Sus scrofa: one gene and its partners. The protein of the gene in region 5 interacts with the protein of the main gene of each other region in a pairwise test. Links are inferred from orthologs where the notes say so. Each region holds a gene or a part of one and is shown on either strand. Other genes may lie near its edges. The genes, in order: PTPN9, TPD52, NDRG4, ARFIP2, MAL2 and SH3GL1.

Evidence for each region.
Region 1: the proteins of MAL2 (region 5) and PTPN9 interact in binary tests that used the Homo sapiens proteins (3 or more experiments, as listed by UniProt). The two-hybrid records come from large-scale screens. The link is inferred for Sus scrofa from reciprocal best matches to the Homo sapiens genes MAL2 and PTPN9.
Region 2: the proteins of MAL2 (region 5) and TPD52 interact in a two-hybrid assay, tested with the Homo sapiens proteins (2 studies listed by BioGRID and IntAct). The link is inferred for Sus scrofa from reciprocal best matches to the Homo sapiens genes MAL2 and TPD52.
Region 3: the proteins of MAL2 (region 5) and NDRG4 interact in binary tests that used the Homo sapiens proteins (3 or more experiments, as listed by UniProt). The two-hybrid records come from large-scale screens. The link is inferred for Sus scrofa from reciprocal best matches to the Homo sapiens genes MAL2 and NDRG4.
Region 4: the proteins of MAL2 (region 5) and ARFIP2 interact in binary tests that used the Homo sapiens proteins (3 or more experiments, as listed by UniProt). The two-hybrid records come from large-scale screens. The link is inferred for Sus scrofa from reciprocal best matches to the Homo sapiens genes MAL2 and ARFIP2.
Region 6: the proteins of MAL2 (region 5) and SH3GL1 interact in binary tests that used the Homo sapiens proteins (3 or more experiments, as listed by UniProt). The two-hybrid records come from large-scale screens. The link is inferred for Sus scrofa from reciprocal best matches to the Homo sapiens genes MAL2 and SH3GL1.

What each region holds. Positions count from the first base shown.
Region 1 is NC_010449.5:58,137,176-58,140,675, reverse strand, and holds part of PTPN9 (tyrosine-protein phosphatase non-receptor type 9), read right to left. Parts: intron 2,718-3,500; coding exon 2,607-2,717; intron 34-2,606; coding exon 1-33. UniProt on the Homo sapiens protein: Protein-tyrosine phosphatase that could participate in the transfer of hydrophobic ligands or in functions of the Golgi apparatus.
Region 2 is NC_010446.5:56,581,113-56,584,612, reverse strand, and holds part of TPD52 (tumor protein D52), read right to left. Parts: intron 3,490-3,500; coding exon 3,341-3,489; intron 805-3,340; coding exon 703-804; exon of another isoform or gene 1-702.
Region 3 is NC_010448.4:20,222,039-20,226,232, reverse strand, and holds the start of NDRG4 (protein NDRG4), read right to left. Parts: upstream 2,801-4,194; 5' UTR 2,186-2,800; coding exon 2,149-2,185; intron 1-2,148. UniProt on the Homo sapiens protein: Contributes to the maintenance of intracerebral BDNF levels within the normal range, which is necessary for the preservation of spatial learning and the resistance to neuronal cell death caused by ischemic stress.
Region 4 is NC_010451.4:3,248,868-3,252,810, forward strand, and holds the start of ARFIP2 (arfaptin-2), read left to right. Parts: upstream 1-1,143; 5' UTR 1,144-1,298; intron 1,299-2,086; 5' UTR 2,087-2,128; coding exon 2,129-2,227; intron 2,228-2,482; coding exon 2,483-2,579; intron 2,580-3,298; coding exon 3,299-3,417; intron 3,418-3,600; coding exon 3,601-3,822; intron 3,823-3,943. Other genes in the region: TIMM10B (mitochondrial import inner membrane translocase subunit Tim10 B), read right to left, coding at 293-469, 666-761, 963-1,001. UniProt on the Homo sapiens protein: Plays a role in constitutive metalloproteinase (MMP) secretion from the trans Golgi network. May have important functions during vesicle biogenesis at certain cargo subdomains, which could be predominantly utilized by secreted MMPs, such as MMP7 and MMP2.
Region 5 is NC_010446.5:19,600,672-19,604,171, forward strand, and holds part of MAL2 (protein MAL2), read right to left. Parts: intron 2,527-3,500; coding exon 2,356-2,526; intron 1-2,355. UniProt on the Homo sapiens protein: Member of the machinery of polarized transport. Required for the indirect transcytotic route at the step of the egress of the transcytosing cargo from perinuclear endosomes in order for it to travel to the apical surface via a raft-dependent pathway.
Region 6 is NC_010444.4:74,438,458-74,441,957, reverse strand, and holds part of SH3GL1 (endophilin-A2), read right to left. Parts: intron 1,899-3,500; coding exon 1,830-1,898; intron 1,523-1,829; coding exon 1,450-1,522; intron 641-1,449; coding exon 497-640; intron 84-496; coding exon 1-83. UniProt on the Homo sapiens protein: Implicated in endocytosis. May recruit other proteins to membranes with high curvature.

The DNA of each region.
Region 1 (3,500 bases), on a different chromosome or scaffold from region 5:
CTGGGTGACCTCAGACGTCTTTAAAATCTGAATCTGGAAGGCCAGGAAAAACCATGTGAGTATGTGGGGAGGGAGGGGAACATACAGATAGTCAAGATGAAGAACAAAAGTGCTTTGGAGAATGAAATAAGATTTGCTTGCAACACCTGGTATATTTGTAAAAGAAGCAGACTGCTGCATTTCATCTGTTTGGGACTGAAGTCCTATGAATTTCTCAGAAAAGGTTTGACTTCCCAGAATGCATTAGTAAATTCATTCCTGGAATTAGGGTCCCTGTTATATACCTTATATAAAGGTAGGTAGGTATAGTGAACAAAGCCTTTATACTGTTTATAAGACTTTCCAGTACTCTCACACAGGTAACCACCTCTTTGTTTTCTTTCCTTTTTTGGCTGTACTTGCAAAATGTGGAAGTTCCACAGCCAGGGATCAAATCCAAGCTGCAGGAGCAAGCAATACCAGATCCTTAAACCCACTACGCCAGGCCAGGATTGAACCCGCACCACCACAGAGACGATGCCAATTCTTAACGGGCTGTGCCACAGCGGGAACTCCATTACTTGCCTTTTTGACAACTAATGATGCAAAGGAAGTGGTTATTTTTGTCAACTCCATACTAAGGCAACCAATTCTAAGACTGTTAGTTTGTGCTTTACTCACAGCTAGGTATGGATGTTCTCAGAGATGGGTTTCTTTTTTTTTTTTTTTTTTAATTTATTTTTTTTGTCTTTTTGCTATTTCTTGGGCCACTCCCGTGGCATATGGAGGTTCCCAGGCTAGGGGTCGAATCGGAGCTGTAACCACCAGCCTACACCAGAGCCACAGCAACCCGGGATCCGAGCCGTGTCTGCAACCTACACCACAGCTCACGGCAACGCTGGATCGTTAACAACCCACTGAGCAAGGGCAGGGACCGAACCCGCAACCTCATGGTTCCTAGTCAGATTCGTTAACCACTGCGCCACAATGGGAACTCCCCTCAGAGATAGGTTTCTATGAAAGCAAGACAAGGCCAGCCACCAAGAGGCAGTGTAACCCAGGAAAAATGCTGAAGAAGTAACTGTAATACCTAATTTCACCCTCTGCTTAGACACAGTCATATTGGACAAAACAAGCCTAGTTGGTTCTCATGTGGAATAGGAATGTTTCCCTCGCTTGCTGTTGCCTCTTCCTCAAATGTCCACTTTACCTCTTTGGTCTCTTCCAAGCTCAGTTTATAGTTTACCCCTTCTCTGAAGCCCCCACTAACTGTCCAAGGCAACATTCTTCTCTATGTTCCTGCAGAACCACAGTACTCTGCATATGTCTGTGTTCCCTTTCAGGACCATGAGTTCCTCAAGAGTAAGGACCATTTCACTCAACTATTAATTTCCAGAGCCCAGAGCCTGGACTGTAAAAGTGCTCAATGTAGTTTGAGTTTACACATGCATGGATACTTGTATATAATTCATTTTTCTTTTTACCTTCCTTTTTTTTTTTTTTTTTTTTTTTTTTTTTTGTCTTTTTAGGGCCACACCCATGGTATATGGAAGTTCCCAGGCTAGGGGTCTAATTGAAGCTACAGCTGCGGGCCTACACCACAGCCACAGCAACACCAGAGCTGAGCTGTGTCTGTGACATACACCACAGCTCACGGCAACGCCGGATCCTTAACCCACTGAGTGAGGCCAGGGATTGAACTCTCAACCTCATGGTTCCTAGTCGGATTTGTTTCCACAGCACCACAACAGGAACTCCAATACTTGTATATAATTCAAATGTAAGAACCTGTCTAAGCAGTCCTCTCAAAGAGTTGTCTTAGGAAAGACCTCTTCTACTTGGGGTCAATAGGTCCCTAAGAAGCTTCCACAAAACCAAATGGCTTTAGTTTCCCCTCTCCAACCTAGGTGGTCTCAGCTACAAAGATATGAAAGATAGGTTATTACTCATATAATCACCTAATCTCACACTAAAAAACCCAACAGTGTTATTACCTTATTTCATTATATCAATGTTTCATATGCCCTTTAAGGGTAAGAAATGAGTGAATAAGTGATTGAAACCACAATCTTTCAGTCCTGGAATACTCAAGGAATGATAATGGCATTAAGATAACTTTAGAGAACACTTTTGAAGTTTTAAGAAGCTACAAGTTGTTTTAAGAGAAAATGCCAGGAATAGATATAGTCTGAGACTCTCCTCCACTACCCTGGAATGATATTTCCAGCTGAACAAATTCAAACACCAGTTCGACTAATGCAATTGTATTAGAAATTGTTAAATATTAAACACCTGTAGAGCCCGAGACTAAATTTTGAAAGAAGTTGCTATCTCTAAGTTACCCTGGAGACAGGTTCCATCAGTACTATCTGCATGCAAGGTGCTATAGAGGGGAAGTACCCAAATTAAGTTTAGGTCCTAACTTCAAGGAACTTGCAACCTGTACTGAACTGAGTAAAGAATAAAACAGAGAATATAAGTGAATGGACTAACAGAAGCAAAAAGCATTCTAGGAAACAAGCCAGGAAGGTTTTTTGAAGGCGGAATATTAATTGGCAAGTATCAGCACTATAGATGGTAATGTATCTATCCCACCTCCAAATAAAATAAAAGTCAGCTTGCCTTACCCTCTCCCGGACTTTGTCCTTCAGAAGGAGGCTGATGATGGAGTAGGGCACTCGGAACCAAATGGGTGCCCCCACAATCAGCACTTTCTTCAAACGAGCTGGAAAAGCTCCCTGCGGAGAATACATACAAGGATTTAAAGATACCAACCAGGGCCCTGCAACAGTGCTTAGTGGGACCTGTGACTGTTCCAAGTCCAAAGTTTAGGTTTTCTGCTCTTCTTCCCATTCTTAACCAGAAGAGGGAGTCTACAGCCTAATTCAAGTTTCACTTCAGTAGCCAGAGAAAAAGTTTTCTGAGAGAAATTAAAAGCTGATTCACCTTTGGACTTCCCGTCGTGGCACAGCAGAAACGAATCCGACTAGGATCCATGAGGTTGCAGGTTTGATCCTGGCCTTGCTCAGTGGGTTACAGATCTGGCATTGCTGTGCCTGTGGTATAGGCTTGCAGCTGTAGTTCTGATTCCACCCCTAGCCCGGGAACCTCTATATACCGCAGGAGCGGCCCTAAAAGTTAAAAAAAAAAAAAAAAAAGCTGATTTACCTTTAAAAGTAATGATGTTATGGAGGAACAGATGGGGGATACCTCAGAATTATAAATGAGTGTGCTGGAATTCCCATGTTTAAAAGCGTGGGCTTTGAATTATTTGATCTGGACCCATTTAATGACTGAGAAAGAGTTCAGTAATTTTAGCTAACTAGTAAGAGATACCCTAAAGATTATCAAGTCTTCCTGAAGATCTGAAAGAAGATCTTGAAGGAAATTTTGATAAGAAATGAGTATTTCCTTACCCTTTTTCTGTGATTATAATTCCCTGATCATGTTAAATCTCTATGATTTTTACTGTCAGCACAGTGCTGCACTTTCAAACAAAAACTTTTTTTTTTTTCCTGAGC
Region 2 (3,500 bases), about 37 Mb from region 5:
AGCAACAACAGCTCAAAAATCACGATTTGGGCCTTGGCATGAACATAGATGGTACGAATCAGTACACAAATGAGCATGTTGGAAGCACATGGTGAGATAAAGATGTGCCACCAGAAGCAAAGGCAGGACTCAGTCCAAGCGTGCGCTCAGGGCTCCCAGACTCACCCCCATCAGACCCCAAGCTCAGCCCACAATCACAAGTCTGCAACCCTGAGAGACATACTTACCCTGTGATCAACAAGGGCTAAAAGGACAAAAGTTCACAACCAGAATTTTTCAACATCCTTAAATGCATTCAGAGGACAATCAGTTTGAAGACTAGGCCCGTTAGAATTTAAGGAAATATTTCAGGTCCTGTTTTTTTCTTTGTTTGTTTTTTGTCTGCTAGAGGTCAAATCAGAGCTGTAGCTGCTGGCCTACACCACAGCCACAGCCACGCCAGATCTGAGCAAGTCTGCAACCTACACCACAGCTCATTGCAACGCCGGATCCATAACCCACTGAGCAAGGCCAGGGATCGAACCCACAACCTTGTGGATACTAATCAAATTTGCTTCCACTGAGCCACGACAGGAACTCCCTCAGGTCCTGGTTTGAAAGAGGGTCCAGCATCAGGCAGAACCAGGCAGGAACCCACCTCAACCATGATAACTGATTTTCATTTGCCTCAGTTTACATAAGCAAGGAAAAATGGGGACATACTTGACGTCTTCCAGCTTTTTGGTGATGACTGATCCAACAGACGAAAAAGCAGCTGAAGCTTTCTGTCCAGCCTGAGATAAAGTTTCAGATGTCTTCTTGTATCTATATTAAATTAGAAAAGAAAAGAGCAAAGAAAAGTAAGCTAATAACCTTTCTAATAGCAATTATTTAGAGTTCAGTAATCACCACCTCTTGGATTTTTAGAAATCTTCTTCACAACCACCAGGTAAGCATCATCACATCATCTTCCATCTAACCATCACCTCAGACACAATCTTCTGCAGTGCCCCAGGAAAGCCAGAAGGACAGAGGTCTATAAAGACAGGGCCAAAGAAATCAGGGGAAGGGCTAAAAATACTCATGGAGCAAAGATCAAAATGAGCCAGAGTCTGAATGAAATTACACCTCTTACTTTTTTCCTTTTCCACTGGAGCCAAACAAAACAAAACTGAAATCAAATTCCTCACATGCCTTTCCCAACTTCATCTCCTAAAAAGGGGCCAGAAGCAAAGTAGGGCCCATGCATACTTTTTTTTGTTGTTGTTTTTTGTTTCATCCAGTGGCAGTTCCCCGCCCAGGGATCAAACTGGTGCCACAGCTGTAACCAGAGCCACAGCAGTAATAACACCAGATCCTTAAGCCACTGAGCCACCAGGGAACTCCCCATGTGTACTTTTTATTATGCAAATAAGTTCTCGGGGCATGAAGATTTTTTTTTTCAATTTTGCCTATCTGCGGAGCTACCAAATAATTGGTGGATTATCAACAGAAGATGTAAAAGATAGAATACTCCAAATAATTCAAGTGGGATATGGGCTATAACACAAAGGTATAATTTACCACTTCCCTCTTCAAGCCATCATTGCAGGGATTGGTGAAGGGAAAAATCTAGAACAAACAAAAGAATATGGTACTTACATGACACCCAAGAGGTTAAGGTCCCCACTTTATATAAAGGGATGCTCAGGCATTTTTACTTACCCATCAAGATCTTTTTTTTTTGGTTTTTTTGTTTGTTTATTTTTTGTCTTTGGTCTTTTGAGGGCTGCACCTGCAACATATGGAGGTTCCCAGGCTAGGGGTCGAATTGGAACTACAGCTGCTGGCCTACACCACAGCCACATCAACACCAGATCCAAGCTGTATCCACGACCTACACCACAGCTCACAGCAATGCTGGATCCTTAACCCAGTGAGGGAGGCCAGGGATCGAACCCGAAACCTCATGTTTCCTAGTCGGATTCGTTTCTGCTGCTCCGCAACAGGAACTCCACCCATCAAGATCCAATACTTTAAAAATTCCAGTTTGTGATGATACAAAGAACACTGTCCTATATATATATCTCCCTACTGCCTACTTATATAAGGAGAAAGTGGACCAAAGAGGTTGGGCACCCTGGTGCTGTCATGTCAGGATGCAGTCAACCCCTGCTGCTGGTCACCAGCTCAGAAGATGGGACTGAACAGTCAGAGGTTGTTACTAGAAGCCTGCTCTTCCTTGTGCCTAGAAACAAAACTGCATCATGATAATACCATATCCAAACTGTGCGATGAGGGGAGTTCTTGTTGTGGAGCAGTAGAAACAAATCCGACTAGGAACCATGAGGTTATGGGTTCCGGTTGCGGGTTCAATCCCTGGCCTTACTCAATGCGTTAAGTATGGATCTGGCCTCGCTCAGTGGGTTAAGGATCCGGCATTGCCATGAGCTCTAGTATAGGTTGCTGACATGGTGACATGGCTCAGATCCGGTGTTGTTGTGGCTGTGGCTGTGTTGTAGGCCAGCAGCTACAGCTCCAATTCGACCCCTAGTCTGGGAACCTTCATATGTGGAGGGTGCATCCCTAAAAAGCAAAAACAAAGAAACAAACAAAAAACTGTGTGATGAAAAAGACCAAAAGATTATGGGGTGGACCTCTGCCACTATCACACATCATAGACTTGGGAGTCCTAAGCCATGTTCAGAGCAGGGTAAAAAAGACTGGCTCTGTACTTGGCCAGAGATGAGTTCAAATCCTACCTCCACACACTGAAAGGTTTGTAACCTCAAAACATATCTGATCCTGGGAGTTTTCATTGTGGCTCATAGGTTAAGGACCCAACATTGTCTCTGTGAGCATGCAGGTTTCTTCCCTGGCCTCACTCCGTGGATTAAGGATCCAGCATTGCCACAAGCTCTGGTGTAGGTTGCTAATTTTGCTCAGGTCTGGTGTGGCTGTGGCTGTGGTGTAAGCCTGCAGCTGCAGCTCCGATTCAATCCCTGGCCCGGCAACTTCCATAAGCCATGGGTGCGGCCGTTGAAGAAAAAAAAAACCTTCCTGATTCTGTTTCATTATCTATGGCTACCTCACCATCCTCTCTATCAGGTTATTCTGAGGACTAAGTGATACATGTATATATCTAGCAAGTCAATATATAACATTTTCAGAACTCAGATTTTATATCTTCAACTCACATGTAAAGCTATTTTTTTTTTTTTTCTATTCCCTAGAACAGCTGGAAAGACCACACTTAAAGAAGAGTCAGGTACACTTGAGAACTGGGGCGAAGTGCCCTGCACAGGACAGAAAAAAGCTGCAGAAATGTCCTCATTCCCTTTCTGTCCCCTCCCTAGAAAAATGTAGGATCAAGGGAACCTACGCTGATGTGGCCGTCACATCCTGCCACCCTTTGGCAAGGTTCTGTTTTAGTTCCTGTAGTGAATTGATCCCAAGTTTTCGCTTGATCTCCGCTAGATGCTTCTCTTTTGCTGCTAACACTTGAGACAGGGTCTGGATTTCTTCTTCTACCTGGGAGGAAC
Region 3 (4,194 bases), on a different chromosome or scaffold from region 5:
AGGTGGAGTCCTCCCTCCATCCTAGGGACAGCCATGACCAAGGAATCTGAGGGGAGGTGTGGCCCAAGAGGCAACCACCAAGGCCAGGCCCCATCTGAGTGTGTCACTTATGTCATCTCGGTGAGCCTCACGCCAGCTCTCGGAGGGAGGGGTCAACAGTTCCATCTCTAAGATGAGAAAGCTGACATCAGAGAGGTTAGGCCACCTCTGTGAAATCACACAGCCGACAGTAGCAAGGCTGGGATTTGAACCCAGATCCAAGGGACGAGGAAGAGGATGGGAACCAGCTGGAGAAAGCGGGGAAGGCTGCAAAGACCCCTGAGGGGATGCACAGTAGGAGCCTGAGACGAACGACAGTGACTGAGAGAGTCCTGCTGCAGCCTGGCCAGGGGCTTAGAGAGTCGCCAGAACAGGAGGAGCCTGTCTGATGAGGGAGGAGGGGCCTTAACTCCTGTGCCCAGAATATGAGGGTACAGTGGACCCCACTGGAGCACCTCCCCCCCCCCCTGCACGTGTCTCCCACGAACACCCCTCCTCCAGGCCCTTCTGGGTTGGGAGAGGAGAAGGGGAAGCATCCAGGAGCTCCATCCTGCATGCAGGGCTCTAAAAACCCCTGGGTGGCGAAAACTTTCCCTCCGGGAGATCAGCAAGTTCAGCCACCCCTCAGTCGTGTGGTCTTTGCAGTCAAGTGAGCCTCAAGTGAGCTCTATAGGGAAAGGATTGGAGGCCATGCCGGCCCCGTGGCTAACTGGGCTCAGATCTGGCACTTCTGAGCACCTGGCCAGTGTTTCCAATGCTCCAGGAACACCGCCCACCTTCCCGTCTCTGAGAGCCTGGCCTGAGCCCAGGGGTGGCCGCTGTTACTTTAACTCACAGCCAGAAACTTCACCCCACCCCCCACCCCATCACACAGAGTCCAGCCCCTCCAGCCTCTGCTTGCCTCACACCACATCACTCCCAGTCCAAGCCTCTCTCACGTCCCAGAGCCTCTGCATGTGCCGGTCCTTCACCTGTAATGCCACCTCCCTCTCCATTAATAGAAATTCTGTCTTTTAGGGTCCAGTTCAGAAGCTGCCGTGTGCTCACATCTATTTGCTCCCCTTCTGTTCCCCCACTCAGACTCCGACCTGCTTCCTGGGTGCATCCCCACACTGCCGTCCCCTTTCCTGTCTTGAAACAGGGTTCCTGGGCCCTGTTCCCTTGTACCAGGTGGGAATGTGCTCCAGGTCAGGGACCAAACTGCCCCGGTGCACAGTTACCAGAATCCACGTGTCCATCCAGCACACACCGATCGAGCACCTCCACAGCCCAGGACCCAGTGGGATCTCGACTTCCCGACTGTTTCCCTTTCCTAGCTCCCATCCTCCTGTCTAGGTCTGTCTACGCCTCTTCCCGGGGCGGGGAGGGGGGGGGACCACAGAGGCCACCTGTACCATCCGCCCTTCCCGCCTGGGAGAGCATCTCCACTCTCCAGACCCCTTGTCCTCTGTCCTGCCTCGTGTCTGGGCAGACCCAGGACCCTGCAGCACAGCATCCTGGATATGGTTTCCAGCAGGATGTCTGGCCACTTCAGAGGAGTCCAAAGGCTGAAGGTCCCCAGTCATCAGGGACCAATCTGGCTTGCAACTCTCCTGGCTCCTTGGCCTCTACTCCCAGGAAGTAACTTCTCCTCGGAGAGGCGCTCGGATTGTCACAGGGAGCAGGAAATGAGAGGTGCACAGCAGAGGTCCTGTTGGGAGTCCAGGGAGCTCCTTTCTTGGGGGGCACCAAGCCACATTGATTGAAGGGCAGGCGCTCTAAGATTCCTTTCCCCTTTCTGGGACTTGAATAGAGCTTGGCTAGTCGGAGACCCCAGGGGCTCCTCCCTTGACCCTCGCTCTGCCTCCCAATTGCTCTACCACCAGGACACCGGGACTCAGAGAGCAAAGCCGGGCAAGGCACCGCCCAAGTCCTCTCCCAGGCTGGGCTCCGCTCGGGAACCTGCAGCGCAGAAGCTAGGAATTAGCTGGTATTCGCAAAAACCCTCCTCTTGCTCGAACCTGAACCCCCTCAAAACCTCGCTCCGCACCCTGCTCCAGCTACAACTCCAAAAGTAGCGGGTGGCGAGGGCCGCGCCAAGGGGCGCCGGCGGGGAAGGGCCGGCGGTACCTGTCAGCAGCTCGATCTTGTGTCCTAGCACCTTCATCTCGGCGGCGCCCGGCGCTGCCCGGCTCGGGGCTACGGCGTCTGGGGAGTGCGCTCGGCCGAGCTGGGGAGAGGAGCGCCGGAGGCGAGGGGGGCAGCAGGAGCGAGGAGCGCAGCAGGAGGAGCAGCCGGGAGCCGAGAGCGCTCTCGCCGCCCCCTACGCCGCGCTCCCCCCTCCAAACCGGTTTAAAAAAATCCACCAATTGCACCACCGCGCACCCCTAAAAGGCGCCCGCCGCCACCTGGTCGGGGTGAACTCTGGGAGGCGGAAGGAGCGCGGGGGTGGGTGCGGGTGACACTTCACAAGGCGGAGGAGGGGGCACCTGGGCCCTCCGCCCGAACAAAGAGGCCAGGCCATCCCCGATGTCGCGGTTTGGGAGGCGGTAGCGAGGCCGTGGTCCTTGGGGTCCTCGAGTCTGACCGGGAAAGCGAGGAGGATGAGCTCGGGCGGGGTGGAGTGGGGTGGGGAGGGGGTACCGCCCTCGTAGGTGAAGCGTGGCCCAGGGACAAGGCGGCAGGCCCGTGGGTCTAGGTCGTGGGCAGGGGCTGCGCGGGGGTGGGGAGCTGGCCGCGGGCCGCAGTGGCTGTGGGATCAGGGGAAGATGGGCCCAGGGGCGCCTCCAACTCACCGAGGGTGATGCGAGCAAGTCAGACGCGCAGGCGGGGAGCGGGGCCTCGGCGCCGCAGCCGCCAACGCTCGCGTGCAGGTGCAGGCAGCCCGGGGCCCCTCCACAGAGCCTCCACTGCCGGGGGCGGAGGCCGGGCCGGGGGTGGTGCGCCGCGGGGGGCGTGCCCACGTGGGCGCCGGGGACGTGGGCGCTGGGCCCGGCCTGGGGGCTGGACCCGGGAGGCGGGCCTGGGCGCTCAGCCTCCGCCTCCCTCCCGCCGCGGGTGGAGTGCCCAGTGGGTGGGCAGGCGAGCGGGAAGCGGCGGCTCCGAAGCCTAGCCGAGACCCCGGGCCGATCAACCCGCTCCTCACCTGGTGGAGGCGTCGGGAGAAGGGTCCCAGCCGCTCGGAGGGTGTCGGGTGCGGTGGGAGGCGCCGCCCGCCCCGCCAGTCCCCGGTAGCCGCGCGCGTCGTCGGGCTCTCGAGGGAGGGGGTGGCCCTCTGTCTCAGTCTTTGTTTAGATTCCCGAGGGGAACCTCAGCCCGAAGGAGACTGCACTCTCCTCCTCCTCTGCCCCTGGTGCCAGCTGGGAACCCCTGGGGAAATGCTCCGGGGTGGGGGGGGAGGTCAGGAAGCGCCAGGTGCTCAGGCAGCATGTCTCCCATTTTTAGAGCCCAAGAGTTTCCTTGGCGAGCTCATGCAGGAGTGACTCCGCCCAAAGGTGTTCTGGGTACCCCCTCCCCCGAAATGTGGCGAGGTCCCTGCTCCCCTCCATTCACCCTCCGTTATCGGAGCGAGCAGGAAAGGGAACTAGGGACCCGCATCGTCCTCGGGCTCACTCCCATCCGGCCCAGTGCTGTTGCTGTCACCCGAAAAGTGTGAGAGCGCCTGGCTGGAATCTTAGTGGGGAGAACGGAAATGTGAGGACCCGAAAAATTTTACTTGGGCAAAGACAGCTCAAGAGGAGGGCTGCTGGACACCGAGGCTGTCTTCAGGCCCTGCCACTGACCTTAGGCGGGGTTCTGCCACTCCTGATTCCAGCCTTTCCTGTGCTGAGTGACTGCGTCCGACCAGGACATCTGGGCCGTCCCGCATGGCCAGTGGGCTGAGCAGTCAAGAGGCTCTTGTCTCTTCCCCCTTCACTGGACTTTTACCTGGGCTGGTTTGGGGTGAGGACCCAGATTTTCCTCAGCCCCAGGTTTCCCTGGAAGCTGCCATGACCTTGAATTAACTAATGTTTAGGAAGCTGGTAAAATTTGGTGGGTGGGGATGGGTTGCACATTCCTGCTTGGAGGCAGCAAGCTTGGGTTCTCCTTACAACTCTGGGGCTCACTTTGGGGAATCTTGCCTCTCAATGTCCTCCTTTGTAAAGGAGATGATGAGGAGAGGCCAGTGGTGACAGA
Region 4 (3,943 bases), on a different chromosome or scaffold from region 5:
CACGAACCAGCGTCTTGTTGCCAATTTTAAAGCTGTACCCACAGACCTTCCTTTAACCAGGTGCCTGGGAATGCTGAGGTTTTCCTTCCACACACAGAAGGCAACTTCTCCCTGCCCAGAATATCAACCGCACAGATTACAGCAGGTTTATTAGCTCCAGGAAAAGGAGCAACAGTACCTAGCTCTCAGGCAACTCCTCATTCTCTACATACAGGCTCCATCTTGCCCAAGGTCCACTGCTCCTTCAACGTGAGGGTCCATCCAGTGCCTCCCTTCTCAGCGTTGAGGACAGCTAGCTGCCAGATGGCGAGGCTTCTGGCTGTTCAGCAGCAACACCTGGCACAGCTGAGGCAGCCTCGTAGTCAGCGATGCGGCGCTGTACCAGGGCAGGCATGAGCTGCACGTAAGCGGCCATGAGGCGGTGGTTGGAATGGATCAGCTTCCCGGCACAGCTGTGCAGACAGGCCTCCTGGAAGGAAGACAGGGTGGAAGTAGAAGCCAAAGGTGTCCAGTCAGGTCCGTTTCCCTCCTTCCCATCCCCAGCCTCAGGGCGGAGGTCGTGGGAAGCCAGGGCCGGACGTAGGGGAATTGACGGGAGAGGGAAGCAGTGCACGGTTAGCTCTGAGGCTCGAGGAGCACTTCCCTACTCAGTTCCCCCACCTAACCTCCTCGGCATCCAGAGCTCGGTGATGCAGGCTGGGCACGCAGCGCTGGAAGCAGAGTTCCGTCATCCGATTGTAGACCAACAGGAAGTCCCGCAACTGGGGAGGAAGGGGGACAAGGAACTCAGCGAAGAGGGGGCCACGTCTCAACTCAAGGCCGCGCTGCCGGCGCTTTCCCAGGACCGTGTACCACGGCCCGTGGTTCCCAGCCCTTGGATGCCTGGCTCTCTGGGGTTTCCGCCATGCGAACAGGGATGCTAGCTGGATGCAGGGCCCTTAAGCGACTTAGCTCCCACTCACGTTTCTCAGCTGCTGCTGCTGCTGCTGTTGCTGTTCCATCACGCCGCCGGCGCACAACCTACGTCACTTCCGTTACAGCTTCTAGGGAACGCCCCGGAAGTGACCTCAATGGCTCCCCAGGGGCAGAGGGGTTGGCTCAAGGAGCGCCCGCCCACCTCCCCGCGACGTCACTTCCGCCCTCATAATCGGCTACGTGGCCGGCTTCTTCTGCCCGGGAGAGGACGTCACTTCCGCCGAGTCCCTGACCTGCTGCTAGGATCGCGACGGGAACTGGATCCCGAGATCCCCGCGCGGCCCGGGCCTGGCGCCCTGAGGGGAAGAGCGGCCCGGCCCGAGGTGAGAGGGACGTGCATGGGCGAGGGCAAGGTGAACGCACGAACCTGACCTGAGGGCAAGATGCTTCTGAGCCCTGGGAAAGGATGAGGACACACCTGACGCCCAGGTGTATGGGGGGAGGGCGGAGACTCACACACCTGGGGAGACCTAACTGACTTTGGAAGGGATCACCTCCCTATGTCCTGGGGCAAAGGGACTTTTCCCCGGGGTCGGGAACTTACACCAACTGATTCAACTAAGGCCTGGGGCGGGGGTGGGGGCAGGAAGAGGGGGTGCATGGGATGGAGGAGGGGGAGACCACCTGCAGGAAAGAGGAGGAGACATTAGAGGAGTGTGAAAGGCCAAACAATGGCGAACATACCTGAACGGGGATAGGCACCTGAGCGCTGGGAAAGGGATTGTCTCCTGATGAGGAGGAATACCTGCGTGGGGATAAGCTGCTTGAGAGCACAGGCTTTCTCTCCATTGCCTCAAATAGTGCGTGGCATGTAGTAGGCACTCATTAAATGTCTGTGGAAGGACTGAATGCATGAATGATCCCTGGACTGCTGGGGGGGTGGGGGTGGGGGGGTCATGAGAACATGACCTCTGGTCAGGCACACCTGAGGCCTGGGTGCCTGTGTGTAAAACTTTGCACCTTGGAAGGGAGAAAGACAAAGCCCCGAGGGAAGAGTGGTGGGCAGACCCCACCACACTGAAGCCCCGGGACGGCCTCTGCAAGGGCAGGGGAGACCTTCCTCTTCGGAGAACTGGCCCGTTTCCAGAACTGTCTGTGTTGGGCTTTGCAGGGCGCTGGGGTGGAGACTTTGACTCCAGTCCCTTCGCTCGCCATGACGGACGGGATCCTAGGGAAGGCAGCCACAATGGAGATCCCCATCCACGGGAATGGTGACGCGGGGCAGCTTCCTGAGGATGATGGGCTGGAGCAGGTGCTTCTGTTTGATTCTTCACATTGTTTCAGTTGAGGAATCCCAACTCTTAAACCCTGAGCTCTCTCCTTCTTCCAGTAGCCTTCCCCCAACTCACCTGATTTCCTTCAGTCTTTTTACCAATCTTTGTTCTGATTCTGTGCAGACTTCCCTTGTGTGCTCTCTCTATGATGCTTCAATCCAAGCTTGTTTTCACCCCCAAAATGCTTCAGCTGCCCATATGTTCCTGAAGCCCCCCTCTTCTCTGGCCTATAGGACCTCCAGCAGGTGATGGTGTCAGGACCCAACCTCAATGAAACCAGCATTGTGTCTGGTGGCTATGGGGGCTCTGGTGATGGACTCATCCCCACAGGTATGAATGATCAGAGCAGGATAGGGCATTGAGTGGAGAGGGGAAGAGGACTGGCTCCAGGGGGCATAGGATACGTCTAAGAAGGCGTGAATCATGTCTGGAGCTCGTGGGAACCTCTGCCAGGATGAACCCGCGGGCATCTCAGCCCAAGGCCCGTTCCCAGGGGTGTCCATCTGCCTCCACTTGCCACTTTGTCCCTCAGATATGCCCACTTGTCCCTTCTCTGCCGTCACTACCTGAGTCAGGCAGAGAACTCTGTTCACCAGGCCTCCCCTGCTCTGGAGCTTGAATCTGATTTGGAGCTTTGAGAGGCTTATCAGAGTCTTACGTTAGACTCTGCTATTTAGAGGAACAAGCAGCCCTGAATCTCGCAGTGACTGGGATCCACATGGGAATGTCAGCCAGGTGTTCGGTTCGAGGGGCGCCCAGCCATGGTCAGCGACCCCATTCTCAGCCTAGTCTCCGCTGTTTCCTCTGCCCCTGCACACGAGCAACCCCTCCCACCTCCCTTTCCAGTCCTCACCTCCACGTCAAAAGGAGGCCAGGTGTATGTTGGGATTGGGTCTCAGGGTCCAAGGCATGAATTCCTCCTAGTGAGTCTCCAGCCCTGCTCCTTCCGGGGCGTCATTTTCATGTGCTGGGAGGGAAGTGTGGGTGGAACCACAGAGGCGTCGGATTGTGTCTGAGAGAGGCTGGTGTCAGAGAACTTGGTCCTTTAGGGTCTGGCCGCCATCCATCTCACAGCGCCCCTCCTGCTGGCCCCGGGGATGAGGTGGCCCGGGGCATCGCTGGAGAGAAGTTCGACATCGTCAAGAAATGGGGCATCAACACGTATAAGGTGGGATTCACGCACCTCCTCCGCCCCCTGAGCTCCCCCGGGTACCTCTTCCCCATCTTGCGGATCCTCCTGTCCCATCATCTCGGGCTGAGACTTGGAGTCTGGGGACGCCGGGGTAGACACTTGCTGCGGGGCAGGGCCGGGCGCCAGGGTCTCTGACCTGTTCCCCCACTTCCCACTCAGTGCACAAAGCAGCTGTTATCAGAGCGGTTTGGCCGAGGCTCCCGGACTGTGGACCTGGAGCTAGAGCTGCAAATTGAGCTGCTGCGTGAGACGAAGCGCAAGTATGAGAGTGTCCTGCAGCTGGGCCGGGCCCTGACAGCCCACCTCTACAGCCTGCTGCAGACCCAGCATGCACTGGGGGATGCCTTTGCTGACCTCAGCCAGAAGTCCCCAGAGCTTCAGGTGCCTTGGGCAGGCCAGAGGGGGAGGGGGGCCTGGGCCCGGGGCCCTCCCAGGCAGTCACCCCTCAGCCTCCCTCCTCCCTCCCTCCTGCAGCCCAGAGGGAGAACCCCTCCAGGGTGGG
Region 5 (3,500 bases):
AAATAGAAGGAAAAAAGAGGATACAGATATATGTAGTAAAACCAGGAGTGATACTTGGAAAAATATTTTGGAGTTCCCATCGTGGCTCAGCAGTTAGCGAACCCGACTAGCATCCATGAGGACTCGGGTTCCATCCCTGGCCTTGCTCAGTGGGTTAAGAATCCGGTGTTATCATAAGCTGTGGTTTAGGTCACAGATGAGGCTTGGATCCCACCTTGCTGTGGCTCTGGTGTAGACTGGCAGCTACAGCTCCAGTTGGACCCTGAGCCTGGGAACCTCCATATGGCATGAGTGCAGCCCTAAAAAAAAAACAAACAAAAAAAAGAAGAATATTTAAACATTGGTAATGGGTATACATCAACCAGTTAGAAAGAATACTGAGGATGGCAGGATCCTGGAGACTTGTTACTTTTACAGACATGAATGCCTTAGTTCCTGAGCTATAGGAGGTCCAGGAAATTCTCCAAGAAAGGGCCAGGGGAAGGGGGAGCAGAGGACTTAGAAAGAGGCAGTAGGCTGGGGCCATGGCTATGTAGTAACTACTGGCAAAGTATCAGAGGGCTGTGCTACTGGTACATATGGGCCAAATACCATCTTCAAGCCTGAAAGGAAAAGAACCTGGTGGCACTTACCAACATCAGGGATTGACTGATTCATTCATGCATTATTATCAGAAAGCCAGGCATTTAGAAAGAGATAAAGCAACTATGTGTAACTTAAACAGGGATCTTTGACCTTTGTCACTTGACCAATTATTAGAAATATTTTCTCCTTGCTAATGAGAAATCGAGGCCAAAATGTAGACATACATTGCATCAGCAGCCTAAGAAACAGAAGAACTTTCAAAGTGTGAAACTGCAAGTCTCAGTGTGTTTAAAGAGCTATGATGATTACTGATCACTTCCTTGAAATCAGACACAAGCCGAGCATCTCTACAAAACATGAATCCCGTTATTCCTTAATAGCATCTGGTGAGGTTGGTATCATTACTACCATTTTACAGAGGAGGAAATGAGGTTTAACATTTTGCCCAAGGCTACAGGGTTATTAAGCAAACCAGATTAACCCCAAGGCCTGTGGATGGTTGTAACCAGTGCACTATGCTTCCTCCTTGGCTGTACTCTCACCCACGCCACCTGCTGTGGGCTGATGGATGGGCAGCCACGCTCTAGACTTCACTGCTGATACCCTTTGGGATGATGGTTCTCCTTACGCTCTATAAGTCAGTCAAGAACACATACCTTCCTCCATGTTGAATAAAATGCTACCACACTTGAAAGGAACATCCATAAAGTTGGAATAAAGGTCTGATTTAAGTTTCTAACCACCTAATGGCAGTTCTTCATGAACTCCATTAAAGCGCTTTCCACCACGGATTGGAATTCATGCTCCATAGGGCCAGTGAATAACCACACGCGTGAAAGAGGCTCCCTATATTATATGGGAAAAAGGGAAAATACATTGATCCAATGTAATGGTGTCATAGTTTGAAAAATGGTGTTGATTGCAAATTTATTCTTAAAACGTATCAATTCTTGCTAATCTAGAACAGGCACTGAAAGATAAAATATCCCCTCTCCTTTTCTAAGGATTTGGAGGGTAGAATATGGAGCTGCTTGTTTTCTGAAAAGAATATATGTATTTTATATCTGAAGCTGGAATCGATGGAAAATGTTAAGATACATCACAGCATCCATCTCCCAAAGGCATGCGTTCGATAGTTCAATAACTGTAATGAGATTCGTTTGTTGTATGAAATAAAACAGTCTTTGCAGAAAGGTCATCTAACTCATAAAGGAGTAACAGAGAGATTGCTCAGCTCTGTCAGCACAGGCATTTTACAGTCTGGGACCCTGCTGTCCAGCAAGGCCGGCCACATGTCAGCACTGTGGTCGGTCCCCGGGGCCTGACCTTTCCACTCGCACTAGAGGCAACAGAAAGAATAGGGGACAGCTTTCCTCTCCCACTAGAGGCAACAGACAGAACAGGGGACATTCTGTCTGGCTTTTCAGGACAGAATGAGATATGCATAGGGAGTTCCCTTCATGGCTCAATGGTTAACAAACCCAACTAGGATCCTTGAGGATGCAGGTTTGATCCCTAGTCTTGCTCAGTGGGTTAAGGATCCGGCGTTGCCGTGAGCTGTGGTATGGGTCGCAGACATGGCTTGAATCCCCAGTTACTGTGGCTGTGGCGTAGGCTGTCAGCTAAAGCTCCAATTCGACCCCTAGCTTGGGAACTTCCATATGATGCAGGTGTGGCCCCTAAAAAAGCCAAAAAAAAAAAAAAAAAAAAAGGAATGAGATATGTATAAGTTTCTCCCATTTTCCTGAAAGACATTTAAAAATCCCTTACCAGGAAGTTCCAGTTGGCATTAATCTGAGTCACCACGCCAGAGAGGAACACGCCCAGGAAGAGGAGGGAGCAGACAAAAGCTGTCACAGACACGAACATGACCCATCCTTGCAACAGAGGTAGAGGAACATTGGAGGAGGCGACTAGGATCCACACGAGTCCCCCCAACACCTAAAGGAAAAGAGAAAGACAGTAATCAGTCTGGGCCACAGAACTGAACATGCTTGGGTGCTGCCTTGGCTTCTCCCGGACCCCTGCATGTGTTCCCGCAAGCTGGCCAGAGACCTTTCTCCATCACCACTCGAGATGCCTTCTCGCAGGTGCGAGCCAGCGCTTCTGCTCTTGGGCCTGATCTGACTCTACACCTAGTTCTACGCCTGCTTTTCCGTGGGACTCGCCCTCCACCCATGACAGGTCCAGCACTCTCTCACCGTCCAACACAATTTTCTTTTGAAAATCTCCACTGCCCTCTCTAAGGATGTTTTTTTTTCAGCCCACCATTTTTACAAATCCATCTCTGCTTGCTCTCCACCTCCTCCCCTCGCTGGTACGCTTCAACCCACTGTCCACTGGCTTCTGCTTTCACCACTCCTCAGAAAGGCTCTTAGCAAAGATTAGCCATGACGTTCTAACCTGTCACTTCTAGTGAGCATGTTTCCGTCCTTACTATGACCTATTTGTACAGGTGAGATGATTGCCCATATACAGAATAGCTGTAGCCACTGTACATGATCAGAAACAATACAAATCTTCCACCATTTGCTGATACTCTTCTGTGTGTTGGGCACAGGCGTGGGCCCTTCAGATAGTCACAGATATAACATTCCCTAAATACCTACGGTGCCAGGTGCTAGGAAGGAAATGGTAAACAATGGCCTTGGCCATCACAGAAGTCACAGTCTCTTATAGGAAAGAGAAAATGAACCAAGGGACAAAACCGCTGCTTCACACACATCACAAATGGGCAAATACTGGGCCCTGCAAGTCCACGCGGTGAGGGCTCTAAATCCAGATTTGAAAAGTCTGAAAATACTCCCTAGAAGCAACAACCCAAAGGACAGGGCTGGGGGAGGAGCAGAGGCAGAGAAGGCTGGTCCAGGGCATGGGGTCAGTCTTGAGAAGATGCGGACGGGCAGCGCTAAGAG
Region 6 (3,500 bases), on a different chromosome or scaffold from region 5:
GTTCTGCTTGACCTCTATGTCCAGGGAGTCCTTCACCTCAGCCAGGCGCTTCATGGACTCCCCGGCGTCCAGCAGGGCATCACCTGGGGGAGGAAGCTGTCACAGGAGGCCTTGGCCCCTAGGGTTGAGATACCCCATGCCAAGGACCTGGACGCCAGAATTGAGAACAAGGGACCCTGAAATCTGACACAGAGCCACAGGGGCTGGTGATGATGGGTGTTCACAAGCTACCTTCCCACCTCTTCAAAGGCACCCAGGTCTGCCCTGACCCAGCTGTGGTGGGAGGGTGGCCTCCCCACAGCCATGATACTGTAGGCAGCACCTGTTGTGGACCAGAGGGGCTTTCTCAGGAGCTTCACCGCCCTCGTCCAGAGGACTAGCCAGCCCTGGAGAAGACCTTGGAGCTATGGGGGAAGGGCCAGCCTGCCCGCTGCGCAGAGATGCTGTTGCCCCATGTTCTCAGGCCCTCCCCACTCCAGCCTTCCCTCGGCCTCACCGAAGTTGGACTCGCCACCCAGCTCCTTCCCGTGGCGGATCATGCACTCGCCCAGCAGGCCTTCTGACTGCGGGTAGCCGGGGTTCTTCACCTGCCCACGGATCTTGGACACCGTGTTGAGCATCGTCAGCTTGGCCCGAGAGGCTGGAAGAGGACGGACCGGGTGGGTGTGCAGGTGGTCTCTTGAGCCACCAGGCCTGTGCTTGCCAGTACCACCAGCTACCCACCTCTGCCTGGGTATTTATTTCTAAAGCACTCCCTTGGGCTGAGGAACAGGAATATGAGAAGAACCCCTGAACAGACTTCCCCTCCTCTGCTCTCACGTGCACAAAGGAGCACTGGCAGTGGTCAGGAGAGGTGACTGGCTCCTTGAGGCCCCCAGAGAAGCAGGGCAGGTAGGTGTAGGTGCAGACAGGTACAGGTGGCCCCAGCACAGGTCTCTGCCCAGAGGGGGGTAGGGGTGTGTGTGCTGTGCCTGAGCCTCTGCTAGCTCCAGTCTGTCCCGGCACAGGCCTCAGGGGACACTGCTGCCTTTGCTGCTGTCCTGCATCTGTCACCTTTCACTGCAAACCAGAATTTGGATTTTCCTTGGGGAGAAGGCCCCACCTCATGCTCCAAAGGTAGGCATGTGGCTGGGGCCTGATACTTGATTCAAATTGGGTTAGGTGGGGGTAAAAAGATACTCTTTCTACTGGGACCATTAGCTGTAAGGACAGTTTAAGGCTAGGACTGTTGTGAGAAATGAGAGCTGACAGATGACACAGAAGGGAAAGGCAGGGCCCTGAGGACATCCTTTGGATGCCTGGATCCAGCCATGCCTGAACCTGCCTATCCCTGGGCATCTCAATTCTGTGGGCCCATACATTCCTTCTTCATGTTCTGGTGACTGGAAGATTCCCGACAGAGAGCTCAAAGAGTTGGGGTCAGACCCCTCACAGCAGGCTGGCCCCTACCTGGGTTGGGCTGCAGGTACTCGATGGTTCTGGCCAACACTTCTGTCACAGCCTTGCTGGTAACATCCACCTTCTGTAGAGAGAGGCCATGTGTGGGGTTTTGAAACTGCCGGGGCACCCGAGGCCAAACCAGGAGCCCCTGGACAGCTCTTGCCCTGCTTAGAGCCCACACAAGAACTGCCCGCTGCTTCTGGGGGCTCCCTGGCCTCCGTGTTGTTGGCCATGCTATGCCCTCACCACTGCCTGCCCAGGACTAGGGGAGCCCTGTGACCCGCCTAGACCCTCCTGGTGAGCCTGGCCTCCCGCCAGCTGTCAGGGGCAGGCCCTATGGGGGTTGGTAACACTGCCAGGCATGAGACGGGCACCACCTCTCCCATTACCTTCTCCATCTCCTTGAAGTCATCGTCAAGCTTGGTCCCTTCAGCCCCTCCGACCTTCTCGCTGACCAGCTGGGGGACAAAGGAGGAAAAGTGTGTGAGCCTCAGGGGAGGAGACTCCAGGATGCCTTCCTGCCCTGTCCACTGAAGGGAAGCAGGGCAGGGGCTCAGGACATCTACCATGGCTTCCCAGGGAGACTGAATGTGGCAGCCAATGGCAAAATGAGGGGCTGAACGATACCCACCCCCCCCAAATCTGCATGCTCCTGGAAACCCAGGGCAGGGGGCTCTTCCTGCTGGAAGCCGTCCCTGGCCGAGCTACCTTGTTATGCCGCAATGGCGGCTCCACAATGTTCCCCAGTCTCTGGGTTGTGCAGACCTGCCTGGGCCCAACCATGGCCCAGTGATGTCCTCTCACAGGGCTGAGGCACCCATGCTCACAGAAGCCCTTTCATTCAGGGAACCGTGACCCTGAAGTCCTGCCTCTCTGGGAAGGAATCTCGGACTGTGGGTCTGCATTCCCCAGGGGCGCCCCGAGAGGCAAGCAGGTTCCGAGGCTGAACAAACATGCAGACTGCGTGTGGGACAAGCGCTGAGCAAGAGGGAAAGACCTGCCCGACAGAAGCCAACTACTGTGGTGCCTGGAAGTGACTTTTCATGCATGTGTGTGAGCATGTGTGTGAACCCATGCACATGAAACTTCCTGGCAGCCACCTGTGAGGACAGCTCCCGGGGCTAAGGGCACCAAGGGGCCCACCAGCTGACAGGAGTGTCGGACCACTATCGTTCAACAACTGGTCCACTGCCTTCTATCTGTGTGGTCTTGGGCAATCAGCCTCGCTGGGCCTCAGTTTTTGCTTCTATAAAGTGGAGTGACAGGTGTGCACTCGTAGGGCTGTGGCCAGGCTTCGTGGGCGCTGCATGCGCATGTGTGCTCAGGGTACTCCCCCTGCCCACACCCATGACTGCTGTTATTCTCCCTGGGCATCTTGGTCCTCCAAGTGGAGCACAGAACTGCAGGGCAGGCCTGGCCTACAGGTCTTTGTCACCCCGAACCTGCATGTCCCTGTGAGTCAAGTGTTCTCACAATGGCTACGTGTCAGGAGCCTAGGAGGGGATGGGGTGGGGGGCACAGATGAGAGATGAGACCCTGCGGTGGGGGCACAGGAAGGAAGCAGGGCTGGCTCAGGGCCCACTCAGTCATGCCCCAGCCTTTGAGGGACCTCCAAGGTAGGCAGGGGCTGCCCTCCTGGTTCTGACTTTATAAGGAAAGACACTGGTCTCTCCTAGGTGTTTTTAGGGCGTTCCACTTTATTTCATGGCATGGTTTCACTTCTTTTGATTATGGTAAAACAGGACGTTCTCAGCTTCGGTGGTTGCCACAGAGGGAAATGAGTTAGCTGCCTGACGTGAGACTAGACTCTTCTGGTGAACTCAAAGGGCAGCCGAGGCGCCAGGGCTCAAAAACCACACCTTCCGGGCCGAGGGCCTGCTCAGTGCAGGGAGCACAGGTGCTCCCAGGGAGCAGCCCCTGCTGGCAGGCACCATGTCCCCTGAGGGGCAAGGGCACAGGCAGACCCCATAGCCTCTTCCAGCCCCCCAGGAGTGTCACCTTTCTGCCTCCCCTGGGAGCCCTGACAGCTCCACAGGCATCTATGTGCAGGGCCGCCCTCA